Linked DNA regions of Macaca mulatta. The protein of the gene in region 2 binds, or shares a complex with, the protein of the main gene of each other region. Links are inferred from orthologs where the notes say so. Each region holds a gene or a part of one and is shown on either strand. Other genes may lie near its edges.

Evidence for each region. Proteins that work in one complex are often made in the same cells at the same time.
Region 1: the proteins of PTH2R (region 2) and PTH2 are in contact, whole or in part, in a cryo-EM structure (PDB 7F16), measured with the Homo sapiens proteins. The link is inferred for Macaca mulatta from reciprocal best matches to the Homo sapiens genes PTH2R and PTH2. Residues at the interface, in NP_005039.1 of Homo sapiens: Thr31, Ile32, Ile34, Gln37, Ile38, Asp68, Gly69, Leu70, Ile90, Tyr91, Asp92, Phe93, Met112, Lys117, Ala120, Tyr122, Leu126, Gln130, Pro131, Ser134, Lys137, Gln138, Phe141, Glu142, Tyr152, Arg190, Ile194, Lys197, Val201, Ile205; in NP_848544.1 of Homo sapiens: Ser62, Leu63, Ala64, Leu65, Ala66, Asp67, Asp68, Ala69, Ala70, Phe71, Arg72, Glu73, Arg74, Ala75, Arg76, Leu77, Ala79, Ala80, Leu81, Glu82, Arg83, Arg84, Trp86, Leu87, Tyr90, Met91, Lys93, Leu94, Leu95.

Annotation. Positions count from the first base shown.
Region 1 is NC_133424.1:61,848,641-61,851,557, forward strand, and holds PTH2 (tuberoinfundibular peptide of 39 residues precursor), read right to left. Parts: upstream 1,458-2,917; coding exon 1,336-1,457; exon of another isoform or gene 771-1,335; coding exon 596-770; downstream 1-595. UniProt on the Homo sapiens protein: Plays a role as a potent and selective agonist of PTH2R resulting in adenyl cyclase activation and intracellular calcium levels elevation. Induces protein kinase C beta activation, recruitment of beta-arrestin and PTH2R internalization.
Region 2 is NC_133417.1:113,702,042-113,705,688, reverse strand, and holds part of PTH2R (parathyroid hormone 2 receptor), read right to left. Parts: intron 3,436-3,647; coding exon 3,282-3,435; intron 1-3,281. UniProt on the Homo sapiens protein: This is a specific receptor for parathyroid hormone. The activity of this receptor is mediated by G proteins which activate adenylyl cyclase. PTH2R may be responsible for PTH effects in a number of physiological systems.

The DNA of each region.
Region 1 (2,917 bases), on a different chromosome or scaffold from region 2:
AAGATATGAAGGAGTCAGGCAGAGGAAAAAGGAAAAAAGAAAGTGAGGGAGAAGGAAAGGAAGAGTTTCAGAGACAGAAGGAGAATAGAGAGAGGAGGCAGAGATTCTCAGAAGACCAGAAAGCCAAGAGGGTAAAAGGGGAGATACCCGCAAGGACTCAGGGAGACGGGGACACATACCCAGAGAGGAAAGAGACCCAGAGAAGGGGGCAGAGACAGAGGAGGACAGAGACCTTGGAGATTACAGAGAAACAGAGAAGGGGACAGAGACGGGGGTAGGGAGGGACAGGGACCCAGAATGAAAGGAGGGGACAGAGCGGAGGTGGGGGGCGGTAGGGAAGCAGAGATCCAGAAATAGGAAAGAAGCTAGCTTCCTGGACAAAGACAGAGGCAGAGAAACGGAATTGAGGAAAGAAAATAGAGTGGGAACTGAAGGGAGAGATGCCAGAGTGGCCGACGCAGAGTTCTGTCTCTTTTCTACCCCAACCTTTCCAGCCCTGCGCCCCCAACCCGACGCACACGCAGGTCGCACAGGAACGAGGCGCAGTCCGGAGCGCACGGCAGGGTCTTTATTAAGATGGGGACAGGCGGCGCGCTCAGCGCGCGTCCAACACCAACAGCTTGTGCATGTACGAGTTCAGCCAGTGGCGGCGCTCGAGGGCGGCCAGCAACCGCGCGCGCTCCCGGAAGGCCGCGTCGTCCGCCAGCGCCAGGCTCCTCCGCGGCCGGGGGGTAGCGGGATCCGCCCAGGCCGGTCCTGGGGGGCGGAGGCTGTGGAGAGACTCGGTGACGGCGCGTCCAGATCCGCGCTCGCCGCCGCCTGTCCTCCCCGCGGTCTAACTTGAAGCCCTATTACTGCCCCGTCGGTGGAGTGGGTCGGTCCGGCTCCCTCTGTCTCGTTCTCTGTGTGGGTCTCTGTCTCTCTGCTCACCAGGTTCGAAACTCCCCAGGTACTGAGACCGAGTCTGATGCACTTGTCCGCCCACAGCGCTCAGCACATGGCCAGGCGCACACCAAGAACCCACTAAACGTTGCTCAAAGAACGAATCCATTTCTGCATCGGCTCCTTTCCAGCCTTCTCCATGCCTTTCTAGGCATCTATCTTTCTGTGTCTCTTTCCCTTGCTGATTCTCTGTCCGTTCCCGCACCACCACCACCACCAAACCCTCCTCCCGCCTTCCACCACCCCTAGTCTCCGTCTTCTCGCTGGGTCTCGGTCGCCCTCTCTTTGGGCTTCTGTCCCTCTTTCTGGGTCTTCTGTCCCCTTTCTCTTTGGTTCTCTTCCCACTTCTCCAGGTCCCCACCCCTCCCTGGGAGTTCTGGCCCTGGCACCTACCTGAGGACCCCGACCGGGGGCAGGGCGACTCCCGAGGCAGTGCGGACGCCCCAGGGCACCACTAGCAACAGCAGCAGCAGCAGCCGAACCCGAGGGCTCCTGGACACCTGGCGGGTCTCCATCACCTGTGAACCAGAAAGGGGCTCAGTGGGGCTGCATCCCGGCCCAGAAACCCCGGCCCTACCATGCACCCACCCCCAGCTTCCCGCACGGTCCCCTACCGCGCAGTGGTCTCGGGCAGCGATGCTGGCAGCCCCCTTATATCGCCTCCGCAGCCCCCGCACCGGGCAGTGACGCAGGCCGGGGGGCCGGGGGCGCGGGGTCACCCCCTCCCCAGGCTCATTAGGAGCCGCCAGCGGTAATGAGGAGCCGGGGGTGGGGGACCTGCCGCTGCCTTGGCCGCCACCAACTAATTGGGACCAGAAGCTGGACCTGAGACGAGGGAGGGGGAGAGACAGACAGACAGAGAGGTGGACACAGGGGGTGTGTCAGAGGGCTAAAAATAGAGACTGGCGGAAGGACCGTCAGAGGAACAGAGACACAAAGAGAAGGACAAAGACAGAGTGGCCGAGGAAGAAATAGAAAGAAAGGGAACGACGGAAAAAGAAAGGAAAAGGAAGAAAACAAGAAAAGAGAGCAAAGGAGATGGAAACGAACAGTCAGACGGAGATGGAGGAGAGAAAGAAAAGGCTCTCAGAAAGACAGACGGCAATGGAAGGACATCCTGGCCTGGATGGAGCTGCCCAGAGATAAATCCAGCAGGGAGAGGCCCAGAAAGACCAAGGGTGAGATGGTGAGGGGGGAAAAGGCAAGAAATGGCAAAGGGTACGTGTGGCAGGGGTGTGAGGACAGGAAAAGTAACAGACAACATCAGAAAAGCCTCAGAGAGAGAGTGAAGAGGGGAAAACAGATAGGGCTCCTGAGCTGCCCTGAGGATGTGTCTAAATCCTTATCTGGGAGGAGTTTGGGGGTGCTGTTAAGATTAAAGCCCAGTCCTCCTCACACTGACTCTTTTTTTGTGTTTGTTTGTTTGAGACGGAGTCTTGCTCTTGTTGCCCAGGCTGGAGTGCAATGGCACCATGTCGGCTAACTGCAACCTCCACCTCCCAGGTTCAAGCCATTCTGCCTCAGCCTCCCTAGTAGCTGGGATTACAGGTGTCCACCATCACTTGTGACTAATTTTTGTATTTTTAGTAGAGACGGGGGTTTCGCCAAACTGTTGGCCAGGCTGGTCTTGAGCTCCTGACCTCGTGATCCGCCCGCCTTGGCCTCCCAGAGTGTTGGGATTACAGGCATAAGCCAGCGCACCCAGCCCACGCTGACTCTTAAGAGGGGCCTCAGCCGGGTGCAGTGGCTCACACCTGTAATCCCAGCACTTTGGAAGGCCGAGGTGGGTGGATCACTTGAGATCAGGAGTTCAAGACCAGCCTGGCCAACGTGGCGAAACTCCTTCTCTACAAAAATACATAAATTAGGTGTGGTGTAATCCCAGCTACTTGGGAGGCTGAGGCAGGAAAATCGCTTGAACCCGGGAGTTGGAGGTTGCAGTGAGCTGAGATTGCACCACTGCACTCCAACCTGG
Region 2 (3,647 bases):
TCAAAGATTGTTCTAAATCATAAAAATAATGAACAAATAAACAATATCCCTGTTTTCTAAAACTTATATTCTGGTGAAGCAGTCAAAATTAACAAAGCAACTTCAGTTGGTGCTATGAAGAATAAATAAAAGTGATACTGTGTAATGGGGAGGGGACAGCGGCTTCTGGTAGGATGCTTAGATATAAATCCACCATACAGCCTGGCATAGATCCTACCATATGGCCTGACATACATCCCTCAGCTGTTCTGTCTTAGTTATCTTCAAAAAGTGTCTGCCTGTCTTTCATCAATTTTCACATTTCATCATTCTTATATCTGCATCTTCTGCTTCCTTTATAGTCTCCTAATCAGGCACTTCCCGAATGCTGTTCTATACAATAGTTCCTAGTGGTGCTTGAGTTGGCATTATGTTTTAGATGATAATTATAACAAATATCATACATAGGCACCATGTCTTTATGGAATTGGCTTTTCTCATCTTCTTAGAGAATCTTATGCGTAACACTAGCATAAAGACTATCATGGAAGAATAAAGAACAGAAAACCACTTTGGGATCCTTTAAGGGTTTTTGATCACCAGTCTTAATATGACATTGTTACATAATCTAGAACACAGAAATAAAGGCAAAAATACTTGACATGTAAATGTTATTTTAAATTTAAATGTTAAATTAAGTAAATTTAATATACATTTAAATGTTATCCAATATGTGCATTTACTGAAAGTTTAGTTATTTTTCTTTTTTTTTTTTTTTTGAAACAGAGTCTTGCTCTGTTACCCAGGCTGCAGTGCAGTGGCACGATCTTGGCTCACTGCAAGCTGTGCCTCCCAGGTTCAAGCCATTCTCCTGCCTCAGCCGCCCCAGTAGCTGGGACTACAGGCACCCACTGCCACGCCCTGCGAATTTTTTTGTAGTTTTAGTAGAGACGGGGTTTCGCCGTGTTAGCCAAGATGGTCTCGATCTCCTGACCTCGTGATCCGCCTGCTTCAGCATCCCAAAGTGGAGTTATTTTCATAAGACATGTCAATACAATATAAATAAGTTTTGTGAAGACAAAACTTTAACTTTAAAATAACTATAAATTTAAAATGTTGAATATGATACATATGATCACAACAAGAAAACAAACAAACAAAATAACTTGAAGGGTCAGAGTGCATGCATCTTGTGTGGGAGACTTTAACACATGTCTCTGTGTTTAAACACTTACTGCCAAGTGGATGATCAAAAAATGTTTGCTGGATTAAAATATTTTATAAAAGGAATAAAATGGGAGTGTGGGACCATCTCCTGATTATTTTCATGGAACACATTATGTGAAAATATTCTATGTAAGATGGTATTACTAGGATAGGTGCTGTTATATGATGATATGTACATACTGGTGTTTCATCTGACAGTTGAAAATTAAGGATGGCTGTTAATATAGAAGTAAATTATCATATTTAGTAACAATAAAAAAAAGACTTACCTTTTACATACAGAATTAAAATAGAGGAAAATGTGTAGTTGAAATAAAATGGAAGTAAGAATAAAGCACCTTATTTATGGGAAAACTGAGACAAGGATGGGGAAAATTAACAATGTGCTTGGTTGAAAGAAAAGGAACAGTTATCACTAGTATTCACCTTTACTTCTCTATATATCTTGTTTCATAATAAAAAAATGTAAAAACAGTCCTTTTAAATATTTGCCCTTAATTTAGTAAAGGTCAGATATGACACCTATTCTTCTCCAGCTTGTCATTTCCTTTCCTTCCAATTTATTTTTATGAATCATCACGATCAGATTGAGCATGGTTGCTCACACCTGTAATCCCAGCACTTTGAGAGGCCAAGGCAGGAGGATTGCTTGAGGCCAGGGGTTCAAGACCAGCCTGGACAACATAATAAGGCCGCATCTCTAACAAATAATAAGAAATAAAATAATAAAACATTTAAAAAGGAAAGGATCATCACAATCAATATAAGTGTAGCTCCACACATCACTACAATGTGACTAACAGTATTTATTAAAGTGTGAGCAATGATGAAGAAATTCGAAAAATAAAATATAACCTAAATAAACAAATGTCTACATTCATTATTGAATTTTCTATCAACACCTTTTCCAACTCCTAATAATTATGTGGGTACACAGATATAATTTTGATTTGAAGGAAGGCAAACTATCACAAACTGTCAAGAAAATTTCCAAAGGATCCTAAAAAAGCAAAATATTATCTTTTTTATTTTTATAACTGCTAGTCAAAGATAAGAAAGAGCCTTAAAACAGATGAGCTGTCTACAAAAATACAATTTTAAATGTGATGATTATTTCATAATAAATAAGTATAACAGTAAATTGATTTTCTTTGTCTTCTTAAAGGTTATTAATTAGCTAGCAGAAAGTTCAGCATTCTTTACTTCACATTTCAATTGTTAAGAAAAAAAATTAAGGCAAAATAGGCAAGGGCATATTCTTATTTTGGAGAGGAAAAAAACCTTCAAATTTAGTTATGAGCTACTTAGTGAATTTTTTTCCTATGCTGAGCATGTAAATATTAAAATAGCAATTGAGATCTGCAGCTGTTAATCTCCAACCTCTTCTCAATTTTAACCACATATGAGTTTTAATTTCTCTTAATTTTTAACAAGCAAACAATTTCTTCTCTCTATGTTATGTTGAGTCAGTGCCTAATCCGGTAATCCCCTTGTACTGCTAAATCATTTTTGGAATGAGAACTGAATACTTTTTTAATTACTTATGCCAAAAGTAATTTGAATAATTTCCTTCTAAAACACATAGTAAGTCCACATCATTAGTTTGGAATTTGTATTTGTTAAATACAGTCAGGATGGTCCTACAAATTCATTTCTGGCACTCTCATCATATGACCTAGAAATACAAACCAAAAATATATCATTGTAGCTTAGAAATTCAAAAATAAAAATTTTTAAGATAAAATTATTGATAAAGCAGAACACTGATATTTAGTTTTACATGTGTATGGCTTACAATGAGTTCTCTTACATTTCCTCCAAAGAATCCTCTCAAGAATCTGGTCTAAGGACACTAAACACAAATAACTTTAAAAGTTCGTCACCACTGGGAGAATTATAGACTTGATCTTAATTATTTTTGTCTAAGAATAGAACAATAAAAGAAAGGGAGATAAAAATAAGAATGGGAGGGATTGTTTCAGGAAAATTGCTGTAGGGATGCTAACGATGGGCATGACAGAATGTTATCATATCCATCACCCAGTTTGAAAGGAATGGAGATATAAATGCCTTACCCCAGCCTATCAAGATGAAGCCCCATAGATATTTGGTGTCCGAAAAGAAAGCCACAAAGATGAGACTATGCAGGTAGAGACCTTCCACCAGGATCCAATAATAGTTTGTAGCCAGGAAGTAAATAAACATCACAACAGCCATCTTGCATCCGATCTATTACAAATAAAGCAGAATTGCATCATATTAGAACTCTTCGTTGTACTGGATGCCAAGATTAGACCACTAAAAAACAAGTCTTCAGTTTCTTTTTCAGGCTAATATGTCTCCTTTACACAGTAAAGTCAAAACTGTTGACAGGCCAAAACAGTTATTTTAATGCATCATTTTTCAAAACATGAACTTGATTCTATTCTTAAACTAAGTTT